Linked DNA regions of Arabidopsis thaliana. The protein of the gene in region 1 interacts with the protein of each later gene in a biochemical or structural test. Each region holds a gene or a part of one and is shown in the gene's direction. Other genes may lie near its edges. The genes, in order: CAO and AT1G48900.

What was found.
Region 2: the proteins of CAO (region 1) and AT1G48900 form a complex in vitro, tested with the Arabidopsis thaliana proteins (one study listed by BioGRID).

What each region holds. Positions count from the first base shown.
Region 1 is NC_003071.7:19,470,549-19,474,998, forward strand, and holds CAO (chloroplast signal recognition particle component (CAO)), read left to right. Parts: upstream 1-2,024; 5' UTR 2,025-2,232; coding exon 2,233-3,354; 3' UTR 3,355-3,839; downstream 3,840-4,450. Other genes in the region: AT2G47440 (Tetratricopeptide repeat (TPR)-like superfamily protein), read left to right, coding at 1-1,112.
Region 2 is NC_003070.9:18,084,001-18,089,717, reverse strand, and holds AT1G48900 (Signal recognition particle, SRP54 subunit protein), read left to right. Parts: upstream 1-1,783; 5' UTR 1,784-1,974; coding exon 1,975-2,205; intron 2,206-2,281; coding exon 2,282-2,381; intron 2,382-2,475; coding exon 2,476-2,629; intron 2,630-3,276; coding exon 3,277-3,427; intron 3,428-3,507; coding exon 3,508-3,656; intron 3,657-3,769; coding exon 3,770-3,870; intron 3,871-3,963; coding exon 3,964-4,121; intron 4,122-4,209; coding exon 4,210-4,324; intron 4,325-4,417; coding exon 4,418-4,746; 3' UTR 4,747-5,003; downstream 5,004-5,717.

The sequences.
Region 1 (4,450 bases):
ATCTAGGACTAATGGAGGATGCCATGGTTCTCCTACAAACCGGTAAACGCCTCGCCTCCGCCGAGTTCCGTCGCCGGAGTATTTGCTGGTCCGACGATAGCTTCCTTCTCCTCTCCGAATCCTCCTCTGCTTCTTCTCCACCACCCGAGAGCGAGAACTTCACCCATCTCCTCGCTCACATCAAGCTTCTTCTCCGTCGTCGCGCCGCTGCAATCGCCGCTCTCGACGCTGGACTGTTCTCCGAGTCGATCCGTCACTTCTCCAAGATCGTCGATGGCCGTCGCCCTGCGCCTCAAGGATTCCTCGCCGAATGCTACATGCATCGAGCCGCCGCTTATAGATCCGCCGGTAGAATCGCGGAAGCGATCGCCGATTGCAATAAAACCCTAGCTCTTGAACCCTCGTGTATCCAGGCGTTAGAAACCAGAGCCGCGCTTCTAGAAACGGTCAGGTGTTTTCCAGATTCGCTTCACGATCTAGAACACTTGAAGCTTCTCTACAACACCATTTTACGCGATCGGAAGCTTCCGGGTCCGGTGTGGAAGCGGCACAACGTGAAATACAGAGAGATTCCTGGGAAATTGTGCGTTTTGACAACGAAAACGCAGAAACTTAAGCAGAAAATCGCAAACGGAGAAACTGGGAATGTCGATTATTACGGCTTGATCGGAGTCAGACGCGGATGCACCAGATCGGAGCTCGATCGAGCTCATCTATTGCTATGTCTCAGATACAAACCCGATAGAGCCTCTTCTTTCATCGAACGGTGCGAGTTCACCGATCAAAACGACGTCGATTCGGTTAGAGATCGAGCCAAAATGTCGTCTCTGTTGCTTTACCGTTTGATTCAGAAAGGATACACCGCCGTGACAGCGATCATAGCCGAGGAGCAGAGGAAGAACGCCATTGCTCACGCTCAAAAGATTGAAGAACGCAAACCGGTTGAAAAATCCGGTTCTATTAAGAGAACCGGAAACGCTGAAACGAAACCGGTAAATTCCAATGCGTACCAAGGAGTATTCTGTAGAGATCTCGCTGCGGTTGGGAATCTACTAACCAGGGCTGGTTTCAACCATCCAATCCCGGTTAAATACGAAGCGCTCACCTGCTAAAAAATATTGAACCGAATTTTTTATCCTACCATGTCAGCCACTGGAAACGTCGTCGTTTCCGTAGATTCGTCTTCGGACAGAAAAACAAATCATTCAGCCGTCAAAAAAGAAAATAAAATAAGAAAATATATATACATTTGATGTATGAATACAAATGAAACAATGTATTTAGGTTTGGAAGATTATTCCAACTACAAGAAAATTTTGTCACTTTACTTTTATCTTCAATGTTCGTCTCCTTTGTTTCTTCTTCATCTTCATGTGCATATAAAACGACAGAAGCTTGATTTGCACGTAAATTAAAATACTAGTATCAAAACTTTTTTTTTCATTTTATTATCAAAATTATCTCTTAAGCTATTGAGCACTAATTTATTTTTTATTATTGAGTTCTCGAGATTTGCCTAGAAATAGTCGATGAGTCTGGCTCACGTCAGTAATATTCGGATGAGTCCTTATCTATAAAGTTTGGCTGCCATTTGATGGTATTGGGATGATTAATTTAATTAGGCAAATAAAATATAGATGGTGAAAACTAAATAAAAACTATTCACTTGCTGTATAATAATGTTAATACTCATATCATGTAAATCACTGAAGTGCAAATTCAAAAAAAAAAAAAAAAAAAAATGGTCTGCTTGCCATTTAAAGATGTTTAAAGATGGAGTAAGTATATATACACAAGTCGTAAAATCAAACACAAATAATATATTGACAAACTCATATATCATAATGTATACATACCAATTTAAATCCACAAGAAAATATCATATGAATGAGAAAACCAACCACATTTACAATTTTACTCATATTTATTTTATTGTTTTATATTTTTCTTTTCTTTTTGATGAGAATGTCTTAACACAATTATCTAGTATATAAAGATTTTTTCCAAAAAATAGAAGAACCTGTTGATTTTCTAAAAGTAGAAGAAAATAAGTGCAGTCCATAAAATAAAATCCTATAAAAATGTTAAAACTAGATTCTTTTTTAAAAAACTAAAATTTGCTGCAGACATCTAAAATTTTCGAAAATGATTGGGTGGCTAAGATTTCTTATCCACTAGAAAATCCAGTGAGTCCCGTTAACTCTCTTCTCTTCTCTAGTCTTGTCTTCTATTATGCAAAAGGTCTTCTTGGCCATGGATACTTGTGCTCTAGTAATCCATCAGTCTCTGTCTCGCATCAAACTTTCTCCTCCCAAATCTTCTTCTTCTTCTTCTTCTGCTTTCTCCCCTGAATCCTTACCGATCAGACGGATCGAGCTGTGTTTCCGAGGAGCTATATGTGCCGCCGTACAAAGAAACTACGAAGAAACGACCTCCTCCGTGGAAGAGGCAGAGGAAGATGATGAGTCATCATCATCGTACGGAGAAGTGAACAAGATCATTGGAAGCCGAACGGCGGGGGAAGGAGCCATGGAGTACCTTATCGAGTGGAAGGACGGCCATTCTCCGTCGTGGGTTCCATCGAGCTACATCGCAGCAGACGTAGTGTCGGAGTACGAGACACCCTGGTGGACGGCAGCTAGAAAAGCCGACGAGCAGGCCCTGTCACAGCTCCTGGAGGACCGAGACGTCGATGCCGTGGACGAAAACGGCCGGACGGCTCTGCTTTTCGTGGCAGGTCTGGGGTCGGACAAGTGCGTAAGGCTTCTGGCGGAGGCTGGAGCCGATCTCGACCACCGAGACATGAGGGGAGGCTTGACGGCGCTGCACATGGCGGCTGGTTACGTGAGGCCGGAGGTGGTGGAGGCGCTGGTGGAGCTGGGAGCTGATATTGAAGTGGAAGACGAGAGAGGGTTAACGGCGTTGGAACTAGCGAGGGAGATTCTGAAGACGACGCCGAAGGGGAATCCGATGCAGTTCGGGAGGAGAATTGGGTTAGAGAAAGTGATCAATGTCCTGGAAGGACAAGTGTTCGAGTACGCCGAGGTGGATGAGATCGTAGAGAAACGAGGGAAAGGCAAAGACGTTGAATATCTGGTCAGATGGAAGGACGGTGGAGATTGCGAGTGGGTGAAAGGTGTACACGTGGCGGAAGATGTGGCTAAGGACTACGAGGATGGGCTGGAGTACGCTGTAGCGGAGAGTGTGATCGGGAAGAGGGTGGGAGACGATGGGAAGACCATCGAGTATCTTGTCAAATGGACTGATATGTCTGATGCCACTTGGGAGCCTCAGGACAATGTCGACTCTACTCTTGTTCTACTCTACCAACAACAACAACCAATGAATGAATGATTGATTTTGATGATTACATTCTTCTCAATTTGCTTCTTTCTCATATGTGTTGGTTCATCTGACCGGTTCGGTTGGTACGTACCGGTACATTTTCATTTTCTTTTAAGATGTGATCTTGATGGTTTTTGGCCTTTTGGGGACACTATTTGATTTTATATCCATGCTTTGAATTTTGCTTCCCTTTTTGGGGAGATTCATGATGCTGGCTGACTTGCTCTTTATCGTCCCAGGTTTAGAGAATACATCGTCTTAGGCTTTTCTTTATCTCAAAACCCATTTACATTTAATTGGGCCTATATATTTCATATAGGAAGAGAGTACATGTAAACCCAATACACAACTTTTATTTATGGGTCCGTTTCTTGTAACATTTGTTGGTGATAAAAACAACTTCTGAAGAGTGATAATGTACAACTGCACTTTGCGATTAAGGAAATTATAGAAAGATACAAAGTCTGAATAAATGACTAGAAAATATGAATAAGTAGTATCCATTCTTCTCTAATTCAACATCATTTTTTTTTTTTTTTTTTTTTGACGATATTCGATGCATTGTGTCTATATGAGAGAAATTTTGGTTTGTCAGTTAATGGCTAGACTTTTATTATTATGAGCATCTAGATTTTCAGTGCATGTGATGTTACGTTGATGATGGACATAAGGAGACAAAAAGGACGGAGTTGATTTAGTACACATTTTCGTTTCTTTGTGAATACAACGATCGCCTATTTTTCGTTTGTAATTTTCCTCTTAATTCGAGAGGGGCCTCTAGTCATGTGTGTTACTTCTAGTTATAGTGACATGAACGGATGAGAAAAGTTTCTTTTTGTAAACAACATGCGTACGTAAATCAACCAAATATATTTAGTATAACAACCAAATTACTGTTGGACAACCAACCAAACAACAATTATGTAGATTATAGATTAGAGAAAACAAGGAACTAGGTCGATTAACCGCGACCACATTAGCCAAGTCCTCCAGTCGATTAATATAAATTGATGCCAAATATATTAGTTTTCACTGGGTTTTATATTATACTATCAGACCACAGAAGACATCACGTCACAGTTAACAACACTACATATTTCAGATT
Region 2 (5,717 bases), on another chromosome or scaffold:
ACACAAAATAAAACAAAACTATTATTTTCAAAAATAGATCACTTTATAATACACGATTTGTATATTTTTAAATGGAAAATAAAGAAAACTCTAAACTCTCTCAAATATTTTGTTTTTTTTGGTCAATGTCAAGACATCGCTCCTTCGTGGTCGTGAGGAGCCTTATGACAAGAAAATTCAAGGGAAGCCTCCCTTTCCGCTAGTGGATCTCTCAGACATATCTTTCTTATTCTACTATTTATTTTTAGGGTAATTATTCTCTATTGATCTAGTTTTGGAAGCCAACAAAAACACAACTCTGTTTAGGTAAGTGAAAGCTCTACCTTTGTCATAATCCCTCAAAATATTGTCGAGGACCTCAAGAAAAACTTCACATAGGATTATTACTCGAAACAAGTCTACAAAATGTGGGATTTTGGGAAGCGAAACTTCAAAATCAGTATTCATGCGTCAGTATAGAACAACTATGAAATTCAAATTAAATTTTTTATCCAATCACTTGTAACTGTCTTTAGCGACATGCCCTAGAGAACCAATATACATATGGACTATATGGTAGTCAAAATAATAAGAAAAGTTTATTTCACATAGATCCTGTAAATTCTAAGCTACTAATAACATTTGAAAAGAAGAGATACACATTGATTGAAGTAAAAATTCTGAATCAAGCAAGCACAACTCAGTGGCGGATCTAGAGAAACATTTAGTATAGGGCACTATTCATTTACTTATACATATATATTTATCAAAATTATTATTATGTATATATATATTTATATTAGGGTTAATTTGCAAAGTAGTCACTTTTTTAAACTTAATTGGAAAATTAGTCACTTTACTATTCATAATTTGCAAAATAGTCACTTTTCACTGTTTGATTCGTACACTTAGATTGTACACCACTTTTAGTGTACAAATATATATAAAAATACACAGCGTACACTTTACATTTGTACACTAAAAGTGATGTATAATCCAAGTGTACGAATCAAACAGTGAAAAGTAACTATTTTGCAAATTATGAATAGTAAAGTGACTACTTTCCTAATTAAGTTTAAAAAGTGACTATTTTGCCAACACATCCTTTATATTAATTGTTATTAAAAAATAAATTTGTGATAAAATATGTAGTGTTTTAACCCAAAAAATGTTTAGTTCATCAATACCTATAATTTATATCTCACCTGTAGGTGTCCAAATATATTTATGAAGGTGTATATATATAATTTTGGTATTCATTTTCATATATATCAAACTTATTAAAAATATATAAGCAGACGTATTTTAAGTAATTATTAAAGTAATTTAAACAAAATTTAAAAATGAATGTTCAAAATTTAAATGAAGAAAAAATTACATTACTGATTGTGGTGGAAGAAAAAGAAGGTAATTAGAAGGAGAATATGCCTTTGACAAGTCTCGAACCTAGGAAAGGAAGAAGTAATAGTAGAAACAAAAAAACATTTGTGCTAAATCATTGTTATTTGATGTTTTTACAAACAAACATCTATAAAGTAAACCTCCCTCCAACCTAGATCCGCCCTGAGCACAAGAAAAACCCTAGTACATGTATACCCTCTATAAGGATTCAAGATTACTAAGAACGAGTCTATTTATCCGCTATATAGGATTCATCAAATAAATGTTAGTTATTATTAGTAATGGAATTTTGGATATATACGAAATGGACTATTCCTCTACAATTTGTTCGTTTTGAAATCGGAAGTATACGCATTGGGCCTGTTGTGAACTTCGTAAGGCCCATTAATTTAGATTTGCTTCTTTTCCTAACCGGTACCGGTTTATGGAAATAGGAAGAATTAGCAATTAAGATCCTCGGATCAAGTTCTCAATTTCTCTCCGTTATCTCAATCGCGACCAAAGATCTCTTCGATCAAAACCCTAGCTCTAAATTCCCCCAAATCTGATTCTTCTCCTCCGATAAGCTTTTGTTGAATTCACAAAGCAGCGTAAATGGTGTTGGCGGAGCTAGGCGGGCGGATTACCCGCGCGATACAGCAGATGAGCAATGTGACAATTATCGATGAGAAGGCTTTGAATGAATGCTTGAACGAGATCACTCGTGCTTTGCTTCAATCCGATGTTTCATTTCCCCTTGTGAAAGAGATGCAGAGTAATATTAAGAAAATCGTCAATCTTGAAGATCTAGCAGCTGGTCACAACAAGCGCCGGATCATTGAACAGGTTTCAATTTTTTCCACAAAGTCTGTTTCTTTGATCGATTTTTGTAATTCGATGTAATTGGGTTTGTTTATCTCAGGCTATCTTTAGTGAACTCTGTAAGATGTTGGATCCAGGGAAGCCTGCGTTTGCTCCTAAAAAAGCTAAAGCTAGTGTAGTTATGTTTGTTGGATTACAAGGTGAGCTCTTTGTATGATGCTATTTATGTTATTGGTTCAAATTGGGTTTGTTTTTGAATGTAATCTCAACTTTTTTGTGTGATTATGTTTATAGGTGCTGGAAAGACGACAACTTGTACTAAGTATGCTTATTATCATCAGAAGAAAGGATACAAACCAGCTTTGGTTTGTGCGGATACTTTCAGGGCTGGTGCGTTCGATCAGCTGAAACAGAATGCTACCAAGGCTAAGATCCCCTTTTATGGAAGGTACTCATCAACCTCTTTGTGGTGTTCCTTTTTTATGAAGATTTATCTTACTATCAGTTTTCTTCTTCGGTGCTCTTTAGAACTTTGGTGGTATTTCCAGAGGATTTTTGTTAGCTTACTTATAGGAGTGTATGTAAAAAAATGATTTGAATTTTCTTTGGAACGGTAGAGGCAAGTTATGAAATAGGTTTAGTTTAGACTCGAGGTTTGGTTTAGGTCAGTATCTTCATATATCTGGACTGAAAAGGACTTCTGTTACTTATATGTTTCTTTGTCCTATCATCCAGTAGGTTTCGTCAGATTTCTCTAGTTCTCTGCGTGCCACTTACCTTTAGGGGTTCTTTTAAGCCCTTTTCCCTCTTTTTTCTTGCGCTTTTATCGGAACTCATTTCACTGTGCCACTCTAATTTTTTTTTACATCTTTGTCGAATAGTTCAACAGTATGCATAAATGAATCTTTTGAGGTCTTGTGGTCTCTTCTTTTTCTATTTGCAATTAGTGCTACTGTGCTATTTGTAGAGTTGGATTTACTTCAATGACAGTAACACAAAGAAATGAAAAAAGAAGAAGACATTCTGGATTAAAACCATGCTCTAGGGCGTACTGTGGTAGCAGATTGTGCTAATACTGAGTTGTGATTCTTGCAGCTACACGGAATCCGATCCTGTGAAAATTGCTGTTGAGGGAGTAGATACGTTTAAGAAAGAAAACTGTGATCTCATTATTGTTGATACCAGTGGTCGCCATAAACAAGAAGCTTCTCTCTTTGAAGAAATGCGTCAAGTTGCTGAAGCAACGGTATGCTCTGTTGCCTTGAAGTCTTCTGTTTGTTCCTGGTTGATGTTGCAGACTCTGATCATGGTCTTTTCACTTTACAGAAACCAGATCTTGTTATATTTGTTATGGATAGCAGTATTGGTCAAGCTGCATTTGATCAAGCTCAAGCCTTTAAGCAGAGTGTTGCTGTTGGAGCTGTAATTATTACTAAGATGGACGGCCATGCCAAGGGTGGTGGGGCTCTTAGCGCGTAAGTATCTTGTAGCTACTGAATCGTCCTATGTACTTGAAATGGTCAATATGAAATTCTTGTAGGTTTTCTCCAGTTGGAAAAGTGAATTTGATCCTTTTTCATTTTGTTAGTGTTGCAGCTACGAAAAGTCCTGTGATATTTATCGGAACAGGAGAGCATATGGATGAGTTTGAAGTGTTTGACGTCAAACCATTTGTCAGCCGTCTCTTAGGTAATTATCATGGCATTGATTTAGCATTTGTGAGTATTCAAAGGCTTTTCATGGGTTGTTGAGTCAGAATCTTGATAATTTTATCTATAATAGGAATGGGTGATTGGTCTGGATTCGTGGATAAGCTACAAGAGGTAGTACCTAAAGATCAACAGCCTGAACTTCTGGAAAAGCTCTCTCAGGGTAACTTTACGTTGAGAATTATGTACGACCAGTTCCAGAACATACTGAACATGGGTCCACTTAAGGAGGTCAGTATCTTTATTTCAAATATTATTAGGCTTGAACAGCTCAAGGGACTGATGATAAAACGTGTGAGATGGTTGTGTGGGGGTGTAGGTTTTCTCAATGCTGCCTGGAATTAGTGCTGAAATGATGCCGAAAGGACATGAGAAAGAAAGCCAGGCGAAGATAAAGCGGTACATGACAATGATGGATTCTATGACAAATGATGGTAAGAACAATAATAATATATCTTATTTGGAGAAAGTGTATCAGTAGAAATAATCAGAGTTCTGAGCAAAAATGTGATGGGTGGTTTGTGCAGAACTGGACAGCTCAAACCCAAAGGTGTTTAACGAGTCACGGATGATGCGGATAGCAAGAGGGTCAGGGAGGCAAGTAAGAGAAGTGATGGAGATGTTGGAAGAGTACAAGAGGCTAGCGAAGATATGGAGCAAGATGAAAGGACTCAAGATCCCAAAGAATGGAGATATGAGTGCACTCTCGAGAAACATGAACGCACAGCACATGAGCAAGGTCCTCCCACCTCAGATGCTCAAGCAGATTGGCGGCATGGGCGGTCTGCAGAGTCTAATGAAGCAGATGGGTTCCGGCAAGGACATGATGGGAATGTTCGGTGGCGGAGACAAGTAGTATCTTTCTTCCTTCCTTTGCACACCAAAAACTAGACATTCTTACGTTGTCATTATTAGAGTTTTCCCCTTTGTATTTGTAAAATATTTGCAAATTTTCTCCAATTTTACAAAAAGAGATTTGGTAACAAAATAATGTCTAGGGTCCAGTCGTGGACATTATATATTGAAAACCAAAAAAAATTTATATCAAAAGAGTTTGGGTGAACAAAACTGTATCATCTTTTGAACAGATTGACTCTCTTTGAATCGAAATTACATAGAACAAACAAACAATAGAAGAATAAATTAAGAGTCATATTTGTAATAGTATTTTGATCAATATTTGCTTGAGCATTCATATTAGTGTTTAGTTTAGTTCACTCTTATGAGATTTTTTTTTTTTTTTTTTGAATTTTTACTTTTATATTTTACTTAGATTTTCCAATTGATTCTTATGCCTTTTAAAAAAAATAAAAAAAAAATAGAAAGCTAAATAATATATAAAAAGGAAAAAGGGTAATTTAAATAAAAAGAAAATATTTAACTAGGAAAATATACTCAATGCTTCCCCTTCATATTGGATGGAGTATGTAAGTTTTGAATGCCTAACTTGAGAAAAAAATGCATCAAATTTCTTTCTTCCTAATGTAAGTTTTTACATTGTAAATAAATATCTTGTCTAAATTATGTTTACAATTTCATATTTTATTCTTCTAATAAATACTTCTATAGAATTTTTATGTATAATGTTTAATGTTATAAATGTTTAAACCGCCTAAAATCGTCTAGACCCCAATTTAGGCGTTCTAAGCGTTAAGCATTAGGTCATCGCTTGTTTAGCCAAGTTAAGAAGACCCTTCATGTAAGAACAGAGAATCAATTGGCCGACATTCTTACAAAGCCATTGTTTCCCTCTCAATTCAAGCAGTTACTTTGCAAGATGGACATTCTCTTTATATTTATGCTCCATTTTGAAGGGGGCAATTAGAT